3 linked regions of the Macaca mulatta genome follow. The protein of the gene in region 3 purifies or fractionates together with the protein of the main gene of each other region. This does not show direct contact. Links are inferred from orthologs where the notes say so. Each region holds a gene or a part of one and is shown on either strand. Other genes may lie near its edges.

What was found.
Region 1: the proteins of SNTB2 (region 3) and UTRN purify together in Homo sapiens (affinity purification with mass spectrometry; 4 studies listed by BioGRID and IntAct, with this or other methods). This does not show direct contact. The link is inferred for Macaca mulatta from reciprocal best matches to the Homo sapiens genes SNTB2 and UTRN.
Region 2: the proteins of SNTB2 (region 3) and CASK purify together in Homo sapiens (affinity purification with mass spectrometry; 3 studies listed by BioGRID and IntAct, with this or other methods). This does not show direct contact. The link is inferred for Macaca mulatta from reciprocal best matches to the Homo sapiens genes SNTB2 and CASK.

Annotation. Positions count from the first base shown.
Region 1 is NC_133409.1:49,599,931-49,607,178, reverse strand, and holds the start of UTRN (utrophin), read right to left. Parts: upstream 4,323-7,248; 5' UTR 4,298-4,322; coding exon 4,204-4,297; intron 1-4,203.
Region 2 is NC_133426.1:41,838,244-41,845,491, reverse strand, and holds the start of CASK (peripheral plasma membrane protein CASK), read left to right. Parts: upstream 1-3,483; 5' UTR 3,484-3,525; coding exon 3,526-3,584; intron 3,585-7,183; exon of another isoform or gene 7,184-7,248. UniProt on the Homo sapiens protein: Multidomain scaffolding Mg(2+)-independent protein kinase that catalyzes the phosphotransfer from ATP to proteins such as NRXN1, and plays a role in synaptic transmembrane protein anchoring and ion channel trafficking.
Region 3 is NC_133425.1:64,914,747-64,921,894, reverse strand, and holds the end of SNTB2 (beta-2-syntrophin), read right to left. Parts: intron 4,685-7,148; coding exon 4,500-4,684; coding exon of another isoform or gene 4,459-4,499; intron 3,399-4,458; coding exon 3,306-3,398; 3' UTR 1,408-3,305; downstream 1-1,407. UniProt on the Homo sapiens protein: Adapter protein that binds to and probably organizes the subcellular localization of a variety of membrane proteins. May link various receptors to the actin cytoskeleton and the dystrophin glycoprotein complex.

The sequences.
Region 1 (7,248 bases), on a different chromosome or scaffold from region 3:
TATTAAGATCTGCAAAAAATTTACAAGTCCTAAGATACCTTCCCAGACAAATATCACTGCCCTGTGATCACTACAAATTCTATGTTCCTTTATTTGGATACAGTCAACTGGTGGGTCAGGCAATCCCTAACATATGGCAAAGATGACGACATTCCTTCCTTTCAGCCACCAGCAAACCTAGCATTCACTTTCACACACCATCCCTTCCGGGTTCTAACCTTCACAGAGGAAGAACCAAATCACCTTCATTTTTATATCCCCATACCTCCCCAGAGCTGGGCATATGCCAGGCACCTAGCAAATGCTGACTGAATAGATGAGTGTGGTCGTCAACTTCCTGGAGTTCCAACACAAAAGACTGGAGTTCCTTTAAGAGTGAGTCACAGCTGGGCATGGTGGCTCAGGCCTGTAATTCCAGCATTTTGGGAGGCCGAGCGGGGAGGATCGCTTGAGCTCAGGAGTTCAAGACCAGCCTGGGCAACATGGCGAGATCCCATCTCTACAAAAAAAAAATATTAAAAATTAGCCAGGTATGGGAGCACATACCTGTAGTCCCAGTTACTTGGGAGACTGAGGCGGAAGGATCACTTGAGCCTGCGAGGTCAAGGCTGCAATGAGCTAAGACTGTGTCACTGCACTGCAGGCTGCGCAACAGAGCGAGACTTTGTCTCAAAAAAAAGAATGAGCCACAGTTCAGGAGATTCTCCCAGGAGTGTCCCCACCTGGCCTCACATCCACATTCACACACACACACCCCCAGCCCCTGATGAAATTCTCTTTCCCAAAGTTCTCAACCTGCCTTGTCTCTTCTGAGAGGTCTGTTCAGCACTCCCCCAGATCAGCCACCTGTTCCCCTGTGACTATTTCCTAGAGTGTCTTCCAAGATGACAACCACTGTTCAGCATAACATAGCACACTCTCTTACACCAGCAAAGACCATAACTAAGCCTCTGTCCAATCTTCTTCCAACTTCCTGTTACTCAAAGGAACTCATTCATTCATTCATTCCACAAGCAGCTACTGAGCCTCTCCTGCACATCAGGCACACATTCAGGTGCTAGGGGGCAGCAGTAACGAAGCTGCCTCTAGTCCCTCCCATGGAGCTTTCAGTCTAGTGGGGAACGAATACATTACCCTGTACCCTCCACACTGGACACCCTTGGCTGGCTTTTGACAAGCTGCAGAGCAGGGCCTCGGTCCAATCAAGCCGCGATCTCTGACTGTGGGGCACCAGCATGTTGATCATTCTAATGGGGAACCCAAGTAGTAAATCTTTTAACCCTTCCATCTAAAAAGGAAACAGCTGACACAGAGTCCTGTCGGCCGGCAAGAAAGCAGGAAGGATGGCAAGACGAGCAGGGCTCCCAGGAGTGGCTTCCTGAGCAGCAGCAATTTCCAGACATGAGTCATCTGGGCCTTCATAGATGCCTAAATGTCCAATCATGCCTCCAAATTATTCATTTCACATTTTCAAGCTTTTCTTAAAACTTTGGTTTATCTCAGTGATATTATTGTTAACATGTAGTGAAAATAATGATAGAGCTAGATGATAGAGATAGAGATAGAGATGAGATAGATGATAGATAGATAGATAGATAGATAGATAGATAGATAGATAGATAGACAGACAGACAGATAAGCTAGAGAGAGTGATAGAGATAGTGATACAGATAGAGATCTTTTTTTTTCTTTAAACAGAGTCTCATCCTGTTGCCCGGGCTGAAGTGCAGTGGCTCAATCTCAGCTCACTGCAACCTCTGCCTCCCAGGTCCCGGCGATTCTCCTGCCTCAGCCTCCCAAGTAGCTGGGATTTCAGGCACCCAGCACCACGCCCAGTTAATTTTTGTATTTTTAGTTGAGACGATGTTTCACTACATTGGTCAGGCTCCTGGCCTGAACTCCTGACCTCAGGTGATCTGCCCTCCTCAGCCTCCCAAAGTGCTGGGATTACAAGCATGAGCCATTGTGCCTGGCTGAAAATACTATTTTTAACATTAAATTTAATGTCCTTATTTCTAAGAAGATCACTAAAGAGTCTATACTATGGACACACAAAAAAAATTCAGTTCAGTAATAACTGATGACAATCTAGGCCCTTGTGAAATTCGAAATCATGTACACATTGGTTTTCTATTTTTATTAAAATAACATGCACTGAAATACATTTTATTTTTTAAAATGGTATTTTCCTAAAAAGCCTTTTGATTGGTCATAGAGCAGGAAAGAACGTTATCTAAATGAACCAGAACTCAACCAGCACAGCAATTAAATATATTTAACACTGTAGCTACTCATTTAAAAGCCTGCTTTTTTTTTTTTTTGAACAGAGTTTCACTCTGTCACCCAGGCTGGAGTGCAATGGTGCGATCGCTGCTCACTGCGACTTCTGCCTCCCAGGTTCAAGTGATTCTCCCATCTCAGCCTCCCAAGTAGCTGGGATTACAGGCACCCGCCACCACGCCCGACTAATTTTTGTATTTTTAGTAGAGACCAGGTTTCACCATGTTGGCCAGGCTGGTATAAAACTCCTGACCTCAGGTGATCCGCCCGCCTTGGCCTCCCAAAGTGCTGGGATTACAGGCATGAGCCATCACCCCCAGCCAAAGCCTGCTTATTATTTAAAGGTTTGTTTGTACTTTTCTTCTAGTTGTCTTCTGATTTCAAACACTATGGTTACCCCAGACCCTTTGTAGCAAGACCCTTTGATGAAGACTAGCTGACTACAGAGACTCTCAATGTCGGGGAAAGAGAGAGGATTTAGTAACAATCAAAGGAAATCTTCGAAAGGTCACAAGTCTGCAATAGATGCTCCTATGCAGGCTTTTGAGACAAGATATCCCTCTGTTGTCCAGACTGGAATGCAGTGGCATGATCATGGCTCACCACAGTCTCAAACTCCTATGTTCAAGCTATCCTCCCACCTCAGTCTCCTAAATAGCTGGGACCACAGGCACATGCCACCATGACTGACTGATTTTTTAATTTTTTGTAGAGATGGAATCTCCCTATGTTGCCCAGGGTGGTCTCAAACTCCAGGCCTCAAGTGATCCCCCTGTCTCAGCCTCCCAAAGTGCTTGGATTACAGGTATAAGCCATCATGCCCGGCCCGCATGGAGTTTTAATTTAGGTCCCTGAGAGGTATTTTGATTTTGTGTTGGGATCACATGGTTATTTAAGAAAGAAGTAACAGCTAATGATGAGAATTGTAGTACACCAATCTTCTATGCCACTTGTTCAAGACACCCAATTCACTAAGAAAATATGAGCTGCTCCAATCATTTTGGTTTGAATTTGCTCCACAGAGACAACACTTACAACCCCTTACCACCTCATTCGCTGAAGCTAAGAAGGAAAACATTAAGAGGGAAAGAGTAATTCCACAAGAAAGAAAAACATTAAAAAAGAAAACCAACCAGCCTCAAAGTTTTTCATAGTGACAACATTCATGCATGATGTGTATAATCAAATAAAACACATCACTTGGGGTTATTTTTCTCTCCAAAAGTTCATACAACCAGTACACACATGTATACATTAAACAAGATATGAACATCTAAACTGATCAGAAAAACTAAGTCACCCCGGAAGTAAACTTCAGTGAGAGAAAAGTGCATGACACTTTCCCTACACAAAGTTACGCATATACACGTCTCATAGAGAAGCCTGCACTGAAACAGAAACCCCAGCGCTTATACAATCCCCCAAAGTACAAACGTTTTATTCTCCCCTTTCTCAGGTTGAAACTAAATATTTCAAGAAGTAAAATGCCTTTTTAGCCAACAGAGTAAATCAAATACAATATGGGATGAGGTCGACCAATACTCAACACCACACAGGAGGCTTCTTCTCTATACGGCAGTAAACGGTCAGCACAGAGTAAGCTATTTTGAAAATCTACAGGGAGGTAAAGTGAAGCACATTTGCTACCACAAATGTAGGGATCCTGGAAATCTTCTTTCAAAGAGGCTAATAACTCTAGTGAATTATCACCTCCTGAAGAGAAGTGCAAAGCAGACAGCGTTAGTCTCTACTCTTCAGGGTCCACAACAGATGTGGCAGCAGGAAGGACAGGCTGTCTGTTCCCGTCACCAGCCTGGTCCTAAGCTTTGGTACTTAACAAAAGTGAACGAGAGAGCCCTGTCTTCAGAGGCGCTTCCTATGAAAACCTCACTGGCTGGGAGTAGCACAAGTTGACAAACTTACCTGGTAATCTCTTGCAAGCCTCGACAGCTACATGCCCTGGCAAATCCAATCTGCACTTTTTCCAGTGAAACGTGGTGGCTGCCGGGCTGCTCATCACCTACATCTGCTTAGATGACAAGGAAAAAGATGTGGAGGAAGTGGACAACAAAAGCAGCCTTCGAACTGCACACTGGGATGTCTTTTTTTTTTTTGTGGCTTTTATTTTTCTCATGAGAGGATCTGACTAAACCTAACTAACCCCACCTCCTCTAAACACCAGACAGGAAGTTACACTTTGCAGTCAGTGAAAACTCCTTAGGTAGGTTTTTTGTTTTTTTAATAGTCACAACTAAGGGCCTCTATTCATGTTCCTGTGACAGAGATTATAACTTTGCTTCCTGTTTTGACAGTGTCAGCTGGGAAGGGGCACTCCACCCACCTTCCTACCCACTGTGTACATAAATAAAGGTGTTAGAAGGTGATTGCCCTGGGTATACAACTGGCCTTAGGAGTTTTGTTACATATTAACTATACTTCAAAGAATAAATTGGGCTTATTATTTCACTGTAGTAGTTATATATACCTTGGGGAAGTAAAACTCAAAAGGATTTCTTCTTCAACCCTTAGAAATTGCTATTATGGAAAAAATAAACCTAACCACATGCAGCTATAAGATAAGAGACCACCATTTAGACTATTTTTTCCAGCCTATTCTCTTTTATGGTCGCTTTGCTCTCTTTATTATCATAGTTTTTTTTTTCCACTCTTGTCACCCAGGCTGGAGTGCAATGGCATGATCTCGGCTCACTGCAACCTCCGCCTCCTGGGTTCAGGTGATTCTCCTGCCTCAGCCTCCCAAGTAGCTGGGATTACAGGCATCTATCACTACCCCGGCGCTTTTTTTTTTTTTTTTTTGTATTTTTAGTAGAGACATTGTCTCACCATGTTGGTCAGGCTGGTCTCGAACTCCTGCTGTCACTTCTGCATGTGTCCTCCACATACATGCAAAAAGCAAGGAAAATCATTATTCATATGATCATTATCTACTTTCTAGTCCTTTTCTCATTCTTTTTCTTGCTTGTTGTGAAATAGAAATTTTCTACTTATTATCAAAGACTTTTCATAGAATATGTATCTTTGTCAGGATACACACAGGTTTGAATTCAAAGGCATCTCTCATCCTGCTACTGTACTGTGGTACAGAAAAGAGAAACTGACAGTACTTCCCCTTCGCTCCTCCTCTTCATCTCTACATTTTCCTTAGACTAGCAGCTGTATAACTCTGGCAAAATACTCTCTCTCTCTCTCTCTCTTTCTCTGTCTCTCTCTCTCTCAGCCTCAGTCTCCAAATCTGTAAAATGGACAAGCTGACTTCACCTGTCTTCTAGGACTGTCACAGGCAGAGAGACCAGGAAAAGCGCAGTGATACAGATGATGTCACATAGTCAATACCCAATAATCTCTTTTTGCATCAAACTTTATTGATATATAATTTATATATTATACAATTAGCTCATTTACACTGTATAACTTAATGATTTTTAGTATTTTCAAAGAATTCTACAACCATCACCACAATCGATCCCCATCCCTTAGCCCAACGCAACCACTGAAATCTACTTCCAGTCTGTAGAGTTACCTATTCTGTACATTTCATATAAAAGAAATCGTACAGTATATGGTTTTTTGTGACTAGCTTATTTCACTTAGCATGATGTTTTTGAAGTCCATGCGTGTTGTAGGATGTATGGGTATTTCATTTCTTTTTAAAATATTCCATTGTATCGATAGACCACATTTTATTATGTGTTTATCAGTTCATGAACATTTGGGTTGTTTTTATCTTTTAGCTAATACCAGTTAATTCTGCTATGAGCATTTGTGTACAAGTTTTTGATGTGGGCATATATTTTCATGTCTCTTGGGTGTGAGGTGAGTGTGTGTGTGTGTGTGTGTGTGTGTGTGTGTGTACCTAGAAGTAGAACTGCTGAGTCATACGGCAACCCTATGCTTAACCTTTGGAAGAACTGCCAGACAGCTTTCCAAAGTGGCTGCATCCTTTCACATTCCCACTAGCAGTGTATGTGGACACCCATTTCTCCACATCCTCACCAATATTTGTTATTATTTGTCTTTTTTATTATCGCCATCCTACTGGGTATGAAGTGACATTTCATTGTGGTTTGATTTGCATTTCCTTAATGGCTATCGAAACCCGTCTTTTATCCATAGGCCAAAAATGTCTTCATTTCTAGAATCAGGACTAAATATTCAAAACACAAAACAGCCAGGGAGGCGTGGGCACCACCTACTCAGAACAGATACTGGCTACAATCCTGAAGTGAGGTCCTGAAGGTGTGCATCTTTAACAGTGGCTATTTTCCAATAGGAATCAAAGATTTTCAACATTGTTCCTGGTACAGCTGTCTGGGTTCACACCAGCTAAATATTGCTGGACTTCATATTTCTATCTACAGTAAGAGGCTGTGAAAGAAGTTGGCCCTGTTTCCTCTACCAAAGGGTTCTTCTGAAAACTGGTAAGGAAATGAAATTCTGAATGTAAATATGACATTTCAATCTTTACAAATCAGTTCTTTCCACCTGTCTCTATGTGTCTTCCTCTGAAATAGAAACAGGCACAATAAAAGCAGCCTTTTGTCAGTAAATAGTCATAACTGTTTATAGGAAGAATTTTTAGACCAGATGTGATTTAAGATTCAGGATCTCAAATTTTGAAGGTAGCCAAGGAAGACAAGTCAAGATCTAGACACTAGCAACAATTTCTCCTTCCCTCTCAAAAGTGCAGTACTGGGAGAATAGTAATTATTGAAACAAGTCTACATCAAAGGGAAAATCTTTTTTTTTTTTTCAGACCTTACTGTGTTAGAGCAAATTCATGTACAATGATGTTAATTACCTTTTTCCTAAAACATTCTATTTCAGTATTTATTTTTTTGATCCCCCCAAAACTAAACAGAACAAAAACTATACAAAATATAACAAAGAAAATATCAGAAGGCTATTAACTTTAAAAAATTAAAAACTTTTTTCCTTATTTTTTGATGT
Region 2 (7,248 bases), on a different chromosome or scaffold from region 3:
CTAAAAATACAAAAATTAGCCAGGTATGGTGTTAAGCGCCTGTAATCCCAGTTACTTGGGAGGCTGAAGCAGAAGAATTTCTTGAACCCAGGAGGTGGAGGTTGCAGTGAGCCAAGATTGTGCCGCTGCACTCCAGCCTGCTGCCGAAGCCCATTTTCCCCCTACTTCTCCCTTGTCTACTTCCCAAGAGGAGGCAGGAGAAGACAAATACCTGTGTCCCCAGCTTCCCTTGCAGGTAAGTGTTGCTGCCTGTGACTCTGTCCTGACCCATGATTTGAGAAAAAGATATTTTCTTTCCCGAATAGATGAGAGAGGGAGCAGAAAGGCCTCTCCTGTCCTTACTGCTCTCCTTCTTCCTCCCTTTAATGTCTGAAATTGCAGCAGTCATCTCATAATGATGAGGCAACAAGCCTGAGGATGAGATGCTAACATTACAAGAATGGCAGAGTGGAACGAACAAACCTAGGTCACCGATGATACAGTTGAATAGCTGATCAATGTTAGTAACCATACATCTCCAGGCTCCTTGCTACATGGAAAACAGCAACACGCCCCCTCGCATTTGTTTAAACCACTGTTAGTTGAATATTCAGTTACTAACATCTGAATACAATCTAATAGATGCACACACTTTAACATTTTCTTTGTGGAAACGAAAACAGAACCAAATTATTGACACCTGACTCACTAATACATGGGCTTAGTTGTTGGAACAGTGTTGGATTTTTGGAAGACATTCAGAGAAAAATTAATTTAAAAGGTTTGGTTATTTTAGTCCCCAAGGCAGAGAGGATCTACCTCTAGCCATCATACATGGTACAACTTCTGAGGGATGTGTATTGCAGAGAATTTCTGTATGACTAAATATCACACTGGGAACTGGGAGATCTAAGTACAGATTAGGAAAAGAAGTCCTGAGCTTTGTGCTGATTGGCAGACCTCGAACCACTCAAAGCTTGTGGCCAGGGAGTGCCAAGAGCTGATTAAATTAGGCTTATGGCTGTAGGAAGGGGGCTGGATGTGTTAGTTTAATTAATCAGAGCCCACCTCTCCAGTTAAGATGGTTACAATCTCACCTCAAGCTCAGAGCTGCTACCCTATGGTGGGGGAGAGGGGTGGGATGGTTTTTGGGAGAGCAACCACCGCATTCTTCCATCTGTAAATGAGGGAGGCTCTTTCCAGATCCAAACCAACTGTGATCCCATGAGCAGAGCGCTTACTTATTTTTGCAATCGTCTCTCTCTTTTATTCACCTGCACTTTCTTTTCTGTTTTACTTTATAATTGTCCTTTTCTACCTCGGAGCATAGGTCCCTGTGGAAGATAAGAAACCCCAAAATGAAGTCGACAAGTGTTGGTATAGCTCAGTCTTGGGCTGGGGAAAAGAAGTGAAGCTGACAAGGTGACTTGAGAGGGTCCTTGTGCACTTCAGGGCAGAATGGAGTGACGCCTTATTCATTAGACATGAGCTGGACATGCCAACTTGTGGTGAGTTACTCTTGGACCCTTAAAGGAGGCAATGTTTCTCAAGTTCTAAAGCCCCCATCTCTAGAGAATGCACAAGCTCTTTGAGAAAGGAGGAAAACCGTGTGCAATTACACTTGTCCTCTGGTCTGCTTTTTTTTTTTTTTTTTTTTTAAAGGTTTAGTACCCAAATCCTTAGCAGGCAAATCTCTCAGCCTTTTGAGGGAGTGGTCAAGGGTTTGCACGAAACGTTTCTGAAGAGAAAATAGGCTGTGAGTCTCCACATCACCCCCTCCACTTTGGTATTAATAAATACTTTTTTAAAAAAATTACCACACTGAGAAATTTACCAGACGATTTCTGGAAACTGACTTATGAACTAATTGGGCACTTTTGCTATGCGGAGGAACAAAGACTCTATTGGTCTTCAACTGAGGCATATACCTGTCTGATGGCGTTGGCTCATTCCGCACATGCTCAGTTGAACAGAAATCTTCATATTGAATGCAACCTAGCACAGCGGCAACACCCAGAACCTCACTCCCTGGCTGCTCCTGTGCCTGCACTGCCTCTAGTTGCATTTTGTTCCTGACAAGTCTAACATGTATAGGGAGTATACAGAGCAGTGTAGGTGCTGGGAGTTTGAGGGCAATATACAAAGGAGCTTAAAGTCGCGGTTTGTCCCTGTCTTCCTGGCTTCTCTCTAGGTTGGTCTCTAGTGAGGGTAGGCGCTGGATAGGTATTTGTTGAGTTTGGGGCAGAACGTGGGAGAAGCTGTCTCTATAGATGACCGTTTGCTGTCGCACACCTTCCTAGGCAGTTTTTGTTTAGTCCTTTTCTCGGACGACCTCCCCTTGCCCCCAGCCCTCATCTTCATTAAGGAATGACAGGGTAGCACTAAAAGCATCCGCTGCCAAGCACGGATTCAGTGACAACCTCTCTCCACCTCTCTTTTAGCTTTCTCATTCATTAGCACCCTATCCCTGCCTCTTTTCCCAGCAAAAAGCTGGGAAAGGCTCCCTGCGATTACAAAAGAAGGAAAGGGGAGCGGCCAGAGTTTCGAGCCTCTTGCGGGACAACGAGCGTACAGCCGTGGACCTTTTGTCTCCAGCCCCTTTCGCGGCTTGGTCGCCGCTAGGCGCGGAGGCGACGACCCCAACCAGCCCCGCCTCGGCAGCTGCAGCCGGCGCGCCCCGCTCAACCCCCCGCGCCCTCTAGAATCCCGGTGCCCGCCCGTTTGCCGTGACGCGGCCCGCGCCGCGCGCATGCGCCGCTCAGCCCGCTCCCCTTTCCCTGGGCCACCGCCTCCCGACGGGCTAGAGTGGGCGGAGTCTGTGGTTCTGGAAGCCGCGCCGCCGACGGGGGAGGAGGGCGTGTCTGCGCGAGGCGGGTGCGCGGGGCTGGCTAGCCGGTCGGCTGCTGAGGCGGAGGGGCGGAGCAGAAGGCGGCGGCCGCGGCTCCCGCCCGCACAGAGCGCCAGTCCCGCGAAGCCCCCTCCCACTCCCGGGCGGGCGGTGGCGGCTGCGGGAGGAGGAGAAGTAGGAGGGAGCGTCTCTGCCACCGCCTCCTGGTCCCCAGCGCCGATCCGCCGCCGCCACCTCCCTCCGCGGCGATCCTCCCTCCATGGTCCTGCCGCGGCCCCCTCTATAGCCCGAGCTGCTCCGCGACGCGACGGAGCCGGCCTCGGACAGAGGGAGCGGTCGCGGCCTCGCGGCCCGCGCGGGCTGACGAGCGGAGAGCGCGACGCCGCGCGGTCCCCGAGGATCCGCACGCCGGGCAGCGCGGCCCGAGCAGCGCGAGGAGCAGCGGGCGGGCGGGCGGCGCCGGGCCCGGGCCGCCCTCGCTCCCACGCCCCGGCCCCGCCGCCCGCGCCGGGGCGGTCGCCTGCAGAGGAAGGCGCCGCAGTCTCTGGGCCTCGCGGCACCACTCGAGCGTCCTCGGCACCGAGGGCTCGCGGGTCCTGAGGGGAGGAGGCGATCCCGGGGCTGGGCACTGAGCTCTTGGGCGCCCCCACCCCCGTTTTCGAAGCCCTCCACGCTGCGGCCGCTATCCCCTCCGGACCATGGCCGACGACGACGTGCTGTTCGAGGATGTGTACGAGCTGTGCGAGGTGATCGGAAAGTGAGTCTCCACGCGAGGGAGCGGGAGTGTGGAAAAATGCATTTCAGTGATGCCCCGGTCTTCCCGCACCCGCTCCGGGCCTGCCCCCTGCCCTCTCTCCTTCCCCTCTTCCCCTCTTCCCCTCTCGTCCTTCTCATCTTGGAGTATTTATAGACGTGTACCTGGAGCTCCTGCCAGGCGGGGGCCTGGGGGTTCTCAGCGGTCCATTGAGGCCACCGAGCCGAGGCTGGCCACCCCGTAAGGCGTGGGGCCGGCTGCCTGCATTTTATCTGACGGTTGCACAGGGACGTGGCACAGCCGATTTTATAGTTGCTTCAGTTGGGGTTTTTGTTACCTTGCATGTGCCATAGACCATTTTTGAAAAGAGCAGCTTGCATTTCCTTTGCTTGTGTGGTGAGAGAGAGAGTGAGTCCAGGGTTTTAATTGTGGGGTGTGTGTCTATTGTGCGGGATATTAGACAGATGCCTTTGTGTACACCCCATGCCCGGATTGGAGGGGATCATTTAAGACCGGGTGCGTTCAGTTTCAGCACATTCCCTCCTGGTGTACATGAACGTGGAAAGAGTTGGGGGCATTCGAATTTTTAATGCTTCGTTATGCAATGACTGTTCAATCAGTGCTCGAGGCTCCCCTCGACTGTTGTTGGGATGGTGGTTAGCGTGGTAGAGCCGTCTGCTTTGAGTCACCGGGCTGGTCTAGAATATAGAACTGACAGTCCAAATGCTCATCCTTTCATCTGTGTTGTATAATTACGCTGGGGAAAAGCAGGGAATCAGATTAATCACAGTGCTGATTGAGAATTAAATCTGCAGTTCCTCATCTAATTGTCCATTCCTTAAATCTATTTTGAATAGTTTCCTTTTCATTCTTGTCAAACAGTATTCCAAGTGCACAATCCTGCTAATTTGCTTGTGAAGGAAATGCTGGCAATCTGAAGTTGATTTCCTAACACAGCGTGTATTCTGTGGCTTTAGAAGTTGAGGAGATAAGATTTAAGAGCAAATTTTTGCTTAATAAGGATCGCTAGAGCTACCATTGAAATATCTTACCTCTTTTTTTTTTTTTTTTTTTTGGAAGCGGTGCTTTATTGTCTATTTTAAGGTCCACAGTTGGGAAATGAAACCAAGACCTTAGAGCAGTTGGCCCTATCTCTTTTAAGTTGTCTGCAGTACACGATTTCAATTTGAGTGCTAATTTGTTTCCTTTTCTTTCCATATTGAGGTATTACAGTGTTGCCTCACATGGTGAAATTGTGGGTAGAGCTTGCTACACACTTTACTCAGACCCAATTGATATGAGGACATGTTACTCCTTGCCCTATTGTTACATGACCAGCCAGACTGTTAAAAGGAAAGTATCCAAATGTGTCCTGTTAAAGTGGTTGTGAAGTGTTCTAGAACAGCACTGTCCAAAAGATATATTATGAGCCACATTTGTAATTTAAAATTTTCTAGTAGCCACATTTAATAAAAACATACAGGTGCAATTAATTTTACTAAAATATTTTATTTAACCCTGTAGATCCAAACTTAACACTTAAACATGTAATCAGTATGAAAAAATATTAATGAAGTATTTTACATCTTTTATGCTAAGTCTTTGAAATCCCAATGTGTATTTTACACTAACAGCACATCTCAATTCTGACACTAAGCTACATTTCTGATAAAAATCAGAAATACTTAATCTGTATTTAGGTTTCATAAAATGTGCATTTACAAAAGTAGATTCACATACCCAAGTTACCCAATATACATACCCAATATACATAAAAGTTTTCCAATAACTGAATCAAGTACGTTTTTCTAAATTTAAATTTTAATTAATTAAAATTAAATAAAATTCAAAATTCAGTTTCCCAGTTGGACCAGCCACGTTTCAGGTGCCTAGTAGCCACATGTGAATAGCACAGTTCTAGAGAGAAAAATGTATCAAAAATCTCCTTGGTTTCCTCATTCTTAGCAGCACCCAGTGAAGATAAATTAGGTGTTTCCCAAGAGCCTCCAAATGACCGTATGTGTGGGTGAATTACGTTTGTTGCATCTTAGTTATAGCTGATGTAAACGAACTAACAAAGTCATAATTGGAAAATGTGAGATTAAAATGTTAATTATATTGTGAAGATGGAAAATAGCCATCACTGAATCAGTTTTGGTAACCAGTTCTGATTCCTTAAGGTCTGGAAGGGCGATGATGTGATCTCTTTGGATATCAAAAAGAAATGGTCAGAATCACATTAACACAGTCAGTATTCCGCTGATTTGTAATTGATAGAATATTTTCAGGAAACACCCCTGGGAGAAGAAAATTCATCTTTTCTGGCTGTTTCAGAGCTGCATAAAGAGGGGCAGCAAGCTAATTTTGAGGTGATAGGTACTCTGTGGCTACCTTAACTACTATGAACTGTGAAATCTCATTCATATTTGAAACCAATTCAAATATGTGCCAATTATAAAATGCCATTACGTGAAATAATGAATTCAAGCTAGCCTTATTGTTAAATAATGTAATAATAGTGTTCCTCAACCTGAGTAAAGGTTGAAGGTTTCTCCAGTAAATTGCCTTAGTATATATTGATCTGGAAATTGAAATTAGCTTGAGATTTTCTTGCAGGGACCTTGACAGCATACATTTTTAACTTAGAATTTGTTCACCTCTGAATTTGAACAGAAAGCCCTTGAAGATGTTCGCATGTGCTGAAAACCTTTTTATTGATTTCTATTCAAGTTCTATGGAATTTTGTTTTCTTTTTCACCAAATTAGTATCACAAGTTGTTTTTCACCACTAGATCTTAATAGGTTTAAATTTTTACTAAGGTACTTTAAAATAGATTTCACTTTTCAAGACTAATTGACCTCCCACTCACTCCTCTACCTACGCAACCACCTACTCACTTACCTCTGTGTACTTGGCCTTAATTGATGGCATAAATGAAAGTTCTCGTCTAATTTAGACCCTTCAGTGTGCTTTTTTTTCCCGTTGGTTGAGAAAGACAACTTCTAGAGTTAATGAGGTTTTGAAATATAAGATCATTATTTGGAATATGTTTTCTTTCCAGTGGCTGCAGCCTTTACCCTTGTTAAAGCTGTCTTTGAGGGAACATGTGCCCAATTTGTTACAAATATTGGAAGGATGTCGTTTCCCTTTTTAAAAATTAAAACTCTTTTCCCTGTGTTTCTCATTTTTGAAAATCTTGCAGAAACTCCTTTGAATGCTTGTTGGTTCTATAACATTTTCTACGTAACTATCTTTCAAATGACTGAAACAAATCTCCAATAATACGACCTTATCGTAGTCCCAAAACTTCTTGTCTTAGCAAATGTAGCAATTACTGGAAAGGAAAGGCGTTATGCAAATAAGGTTAATGACTAATTTTTATGTCATGATCATTTACTGTATCTTTTACAAGTATAAGTAAGTGTACAACCGGTAATACTACATGAAGGAAATTTAAGACAATTCATCCAAATTAAAACATAGAAAAATGCCTACTTTCTTGGTACAGCAGTGTCTATGAAAGAGAATAACAAAATACACACCATTTTTACCTTGTGTTGGTACCTTTGCCGTATTATTTAGTAACCTGTAGCTTCTGACTTTCCTGCTCTGATAGGACATACACTAAAATTGGAATGATGCAGCATGACCCTTGCTTAAGGATGA
Region 3 (7,148 bases):
TCATTTGATGACTTCAGGAAAGGACTTACCTTTTTCAGAAAAAGAAAAACTGAATGTTTTTCTTTTATTCCTTTCCTTTTCTTTTTATGGAGAGAAAGGAGAGAAGTTTTAGAAGAAAAGGTGGGAGCCTTTTCATATACCAGCTGGCTGCTCCTAGGCATCTGTGTGGAATGTGGAGAAGCTGTCGAAGCCTCGGGTCTGGGGGCACAGGAAGCAGTCCCTCTGAATGGGGAGCGGACACTATTCTGCAGTTTCCTTTCCATTCCACACACTGGAACCTACCACATCCTCAACAATTTTCTTAATTAAAAATGAAAAAGAAATGAAAAGTGAGCTGGTTCTATAAAAAAGGTAGAATATTGAAAATGCCCATTTTTAGTTATCATTTGGAAATAATTTGCCATATATTTAATTTGGCATCTAAATATAAATACATATTTATCATGGTGTCCCATTCATTAGAGAGCACTTCATTTGTGGATTGAAAATCCCACAAACACATTTGATTGAAGAACAACCTTGGTCATCATGATTGGAGAGCTCTTAAGTATGTAAGACAAGCAGCAAAAGGGCTCTGGTTCTTGGGGCTGCTAATGGACAAAGGAAACCTCCCATTCTTTCATTTCACACCAAGACTCAAAAGATATTATTAAGAACCCTACAGACCTCAGTGCTATACATGTCAGTTTAACCTTGACCAAAATGAGTGAAAATGCACATGCCTTGCCTTTCCTGCTCACACTTTAATTCCACCTATTTTACATCTTCATATAACCAACGAGCAGGGTGGCTCAGAAGCTGCCCTGCAAATCTCAGTGGCTTAGCCTTTCACATTAACACAGAAAACCTCAACCAAATGGCTTTGCTGCTGAAGTCTGTAAAGGCATCATTCAACATCTCATATTAATAATGCTCTCACTGCATAGAGGATTTAAGATTGCCTACCTGAGGGTATTACATATTGAAATTCTGATTCCAGAAATCATTTCTGGACCTTCAAGAGATTTTTTTCCTTCCCTGAAATGAAAATTTATTGTGGGCCAGGTACGGTGGCTCACACCTATAGTCCCAGCACTTTGGGAGGCCAAGGCAGGCGGATCACTTGAGGTTGGGGGTTCAAGACCAGCCTAGCCAACATGGTAAAACCCTGCCTCTACTAAAAATACAAAAATTAGGCGGGTGTGGTGGTGGGCGGCTATAATCCCAGCTACTCAGGAGAATCACTTGAACCTAGGAGGTAGAGGTTGCAGTGAGCCGAGATCATGCCACTGCACTCCAGCCTGGGAGACAGAACGAGACTCCATCTCAAAAAAAAAAGAAAAAAAAGAAAAGAAAATTTATCTGAGATGGAGCCAATCTTAGGTTTATGAATTTTCAAAATATAAAGAGCTTTTGAAAGACATATTCTTGTCTAGATTTTAATTTCCAGTTTTAAGCCGTTCAGATAATTCATTTTTGGAACTTCGACAATTACATGAAGCTGGGGGAAGAACAGGCATGTCTTCCCAACCTCTGCATACTGTTGGTTTCACTGTAATGAGGAAGTGGGGCTGACTTCCGGGTGAAGGAGGACAGTGGAGTTACAATGTTAACCTAGAACTCGCTCTGCTCATGGGTCCTCCCACCGGTCAGGCTGCACTGAAACCAAATAGCTCATTTTGCACACACAGCTGTATTTTTCTCTTCTTTTCTCCCCCTGTGCCTGCCCCATCTGAAGCGACATCCTCCTCCACCCACCACAGCACTCACATTCTTCTATGGCACTCTTGATCGATCAAGCAAACAAGAACTTTCCCTAGACCTTTCTTCAGAGAGCATAAAGAATATCCAAGTCAATATTACCTATTCTTTGAGATCCAGGGACTACGCTAATTTTGACGTTTTATATTGATATTATACCATTTTAAATGTTTGCAGATATATGCCTCCTTCAAAATTAGGAAAAACAAGCTGAGTGTGATTTTCTAACACTACAACATCAGTATTTTTGCTGCTACTGTGTCCTAATGATGACATCTGGCAATGCTTAACCAAAAGGAGGCAGCTGTTCCACAGTCTCATCACCCTGCCCCCTGTAGGGTGTGCTGTGAAGCCAACACTAAGTCTTCCATTAGCAGTTCCTTGTCCATGCCACTGCTGCCACAAAGGGCCAGGCCACAGCTGAGATGCTGCATCCCGTTGTTTTTGGGCAGCCCCAAAACAACTCGACATGACGCTTGTGCGGAAGAGCTGGCTTCACCCACCAAGTCTACTCTGCAAGCAGGCTGGCTCTTCAGGATTTATCTTGCTCAAAGAGATCTGCCTACTAGAAGAGATGCCATTAAGGAAACCCACCTCAAAGACTATTCCTCAAAACTAGGATAGGTGATCTCCTTGAAATGGCAGTGATTTCCAGTTATTCAAATAGTGACTAATAAAGCTCCACTAACCCTAACCAAAGGCACATTTGGTAAGCAATTAAAAAAATGGCTTAACCTAGGAAGAGGATTTTCATTTAAAATAAATCTCACAATATCCTCTGGCTACCACCAAAAATAAAATGGAAAAACCTAAACCAAGCAAAACTTTTCTTTCAAAGCAAAGTGGCTTCCAACTTGCTTTTCAACTCAGTCACCACTAGAAAGGAAGTGAAAGGCAAGGCAAATCAAATTTGCAAGTCCTAAGTCCTAGAGACAGCACTTAAGAGTGGCAAAGCTTGGGATAAGGTGGGAAGTGATGGCCAGGCTGAGATAGAGAGAGAGCCAGGGCAAATGGAACATCCCTTTGGTGATACAACTCAAGGACTTCCTATGGTGGAAGGAGCTAGTGAGGACAGTAAATTCTAAGACATACAACCTATCTGGAATGCTCACGAAGCAACAGGCTGCTGCAAGCTAGCACCCGGGAAGGGACAATTGTTCTGAACAAGAGATCAAGGCTAGGCATAACACAAATCCTACAGGGAGAAGAAAAAGAAAACAATGCTTGGGTATTTGATTATGTCTAAAAAGGAAAACAATGAGCCATTCTTTTTGGCAGGAGAAACAAACCTAATTACTCATAAACCGTATTATGAAACGAAAATAAATCAACAGCTTCATTTTGGAGCCTTTTCGAGTCCTAGAATATCTGGCCAAGGTAGACTGTGAAAGGCAGGCTCTTCTTTAAACACGGTTATGGTTCAGCAGTGATTTGCAGGTCCTTGGGAAGGCACTGTGCTGAAGGAGAGAGCAAAGAGTTTTCTTTTTGTGCTTTTTTTTTTTTTTTTTTTTTGAGGTGGAAATATTTCTTGTGACAGTCAAGGCTCTTTTCTGATTTTTTGTTGCTCATACAAGCAGTCCCATACGAGTGACTTTGGCCGATAAGAATGTGTGCAACACAAATACAATCGGCTTCGGACAAGAGTGCAGGTCCATGGTCTGTGGAGAAAGGACACTAAGTATCACTACCTCACTGCCATATACAGACAACTGAATACATGAAGATGCAAAATAAATTTACTTTTAAGGTAGGTAAAGAATATGCCAGAGCTATGGAAACTCTTGGGAACTTAAAGCCACAGGCAAAAGTGCACTATGGAGTAAGGTTATTCCATGTCATAATACTGGTGTGAGGTTTCACATCCCCAATTAGGAGACAACTGGTGGTGTACTGGGTTCCACCATGCCTGGTAGGAAGATCTAAATAGTAGAGGATTTAAAATCTAAGGCCAGGCGCGGTGGCTCACGCCCGTAATCCCAGCACTTTGGGAGGCCAAGGCAGGCGGATCATGAGGTCAGGAGATCGGGACCATCCTGGCTAACATGGTGAAACCCCATCTCTACTAAAAAAAAAAGAAAAATTAGCCAGGTGTGGTGGCACATGCATGTAATCTCAGCTGCTCAGGAGGCTGAGGCAGGAGAATCACTTGAACCAGGGAGGCAGAGGTTGCAGTGAGCTGAGATGGTGCCACTGCACTCCAGCCTGGGTGACAAAGCGAGACTCCGTCTCAAAAAAAAATAAAAAAGAAAAATGATAACAAAAACCAACATCCAATGTCATCTGGAAAACTGAGAACAGCAGATACAGTGGCTCACATCTGTAATCCCAACACCTCGGGAGGCCAAGATGGGAAGATCACTTGAAGACAGGAGTTCAAGACCATCCTGGGCAGCAAAGCGAGACCTCATCTCTACAAAAAATACAAAAATTGGCCAGGCATGGTGGCACACGCCTATAGTCCAGTTCCAGTTACTCAGGAGGCTGAGGCAGGAGGATCACTTCAGCCCAGGAGGTATAGGCTGCAGGGAGCTATGATCGCACCACTACACTCCAGCCTGGGCGACACAGACCCCATCTTAAAAAAAAAAAAAATTTAATTAAAAATTTCATGGTTCTAAATGGAATGTCAGTCCATGATTTTGTATATAAGGGGTAAGAAGTAATGAGAAGGAAAGAGAACATCTATTAGAAAAAAATGTGTTTCAGAAACACTCCTACCAGTTCTCCCTCGGGACCACCAAAATCAGAAACACTCTTACCAGTTCTCCCTCGGGACCACCAAAATCCAAGTATAGATTTCGGATGCCATCATCCGCAGACATCTTCAGCCTTTCAAAGGGGTAGCGGTATAATATGCTGCTGGAGCCTCCGTTTTCCCTGGAGATGGTGAACCCATTTTCATAGTGAATAGTAAGCCTCACCTCTTGGCCATTTAACATGCAGCCTGTTGGAGAAAAGCAAAAAATATTAGTCGTAAAGTTGTTATGCCAGTTATCAAGTGAAACGGGATTCTTCTGACTTCAAAATAGGAAAAATATTTTCTTGAGAATGTGTGATACCGAACCTATATGGAACCTTCTAAAGTGTGTTTTGTTTTGGTGACTGAGATGAGGCAGAAATGACCATAACACTCCTTGACATCTGATTCAGTTTAATTCCATGAGTACCCACTGAACACTCATAGTGGCAAGTGTGTGTAGGCTGTGCAGGGCACTGGAGAAGCAAGAGAGGCACAGTCCCTGCTCTCAAGGACTTTGTAAACGCATTAGCATAAACAGGAAATCCCCAGCTGTGTAAGGCAGAATGTACAGAACATGAGCAAACACCAAACTGAATGAGGCCAAAGTCAAGAAAAGGTTTCCTGGAGGAGCTGGGCCTTCAGATAGGCCCTAAAGAACTGGTAAAACTGGCCGGGTACGATGGCTCACAGCTGTAATCCCAGCACTTTGGGAGGTCGAGGTGGGTGGATCACTTGAGGTCAGGAGTTCGAGACCAGCCTGGCCAACAAGGCAAAATCCCATCTCTACTAAAAATAAAAAATTAGCCAGGCGTGGTGGCACATGCCTGTAATCCCAGCTACTCAGGAGGCTGAGGCAGGATAACTTCTTGCACCCAGGAGGCAGAGGTTGCAGTGAGACAAAATCACACCACTGCACTCCAGCCTGGGTGACAATAGCAAGACTCTGTCTCAAAAAAAAAGGTAAAACTGGACAGGCAGGGAGGAACAGGCAGAAGGACTGAACTGGGCGAGAAGGAACAACCAAAGGACCAAAGGCAGAGAGGCCTTTCAGGAGCTGTGACATGGTTTGGTTGGCATTTGGGATGAAGATAAAGATTACGTTCATCCAAGTTAAAGGCTATACTCAGCAAAAGTCACAGATTCAATGCTATCAAAGATACAATTCAAAGGATACCTCTGAATTGACAGGATACAAACAATTTTGGTCATCAAGACCGGCAAATACCCCAGGTGTGGAGGCTCATGCCTATAATCCCAGCACTCTGGGAGGCTGAGGCAGGAGGATCACTTGAGGCCAGGTGCGCTAGAGACCAGCCTGGGTAACATGACAAGATCTCATTTCTACTAAAAATAAAAAATGTATCACGGCATGGTGGTGTGTACCTATAGTCCCAGCTACTCGGAAGGCTTGGGTGGGAGGATCACTTGCATCCAGGAGTTCAAGGTTGCAGTGAGCTATGATCACGCCACTGCACTTTAGCCTGGGTGACAGAGCAATGTCTAAACAATTTTAAAAAGAGAGTTTAGAAGTCCTTTTTTGTTTTGAGATGGAATCTCCTTTTGTTACCCAGGCTGGGGTGCAGTGGCGTGATCTTGGCTCATTGCAGCCTCAGTTTCCTGGGCTCAAGCAATTCTTCTGCCTCAGCCTGCTGAGTAGCTGGGATTACAGACGCACACCACCACGCCCGGCTAATTTTTTTGCATTTTTAGTAGAGACAGGGTTTCACCATGTTGGACAGGTTGGTCTTGAACTCCTGACTGCAAGTGATCCACCCACCTCGGTCTCCCAAAGTGTGGGGATTATAGGCATAAGCCATCGCACATGTTTTTTTTTTGTTTTTTGTTTTTTTTTTTGGAGACAGTCTCGCTCTGTAGCCCAGGCTGGAGTGCAGTGACATGATCTTGGCTCACTGCAACCTCTGCCTCCCAGGTTGAAGCGATTCTCCTGCCTCAACCTCCTGAGTAGCTGGGATTACAGGAGTGTGCCACCACACCTGGCTAATTTATGTATTTTAAGTAGAGATGGGGTTTCACCATGTTGGTCAGGCTGGTCTCGAACTCCTGACCTTGTGATCCACCCACCTCAGCCTCCCAAAGTGCTGGGATTACAGGTGTGAGACACTGTGCCCGGCCCCCCACCCCCCGTTTTTTTTTTTTAGACAGAATCTTGCTGTGTCACCCAGACTGGAGTGCACTGGCACAATCTCAGCTGACTGCAACCTCTGCCTCCCAGGTTCAAGCAATTCCGGTGCCTTAGCCTCCTGAGTAGCTGGGATTACAGGCGGGCACCACCACACCCAGCTAATTCTTTGTATTTTTTAGTTGAGACAGGGTTTTGCCATGTTGCCCAGGCTGGTCTCGAACTCCTGAGCTCAGGCAATCCACCTGCCTGGGTCTCCCAAAGTGCTGGGATTACAGGTGTGAGCCACTGTGCCTGGCCTGAGAGGGTTTTTTTGTTTGTGTTTTTTTTGAGATAAGTGTCTCACTCTATCATCCAGGCTGGAGTGCAATGGCGCAACCTCGGCTCCTTGCAACCTCCACCTCCTGGGTTCAAACGATTCTTATGCCTCAGCCTCCCGAGTAGCTGGGATTACAGGTGTTCACTACCACGCCTGGGTAATTATTGTATTTTTAGTATACAGCGATTTCACCGTGTTGGCCAGGCTGG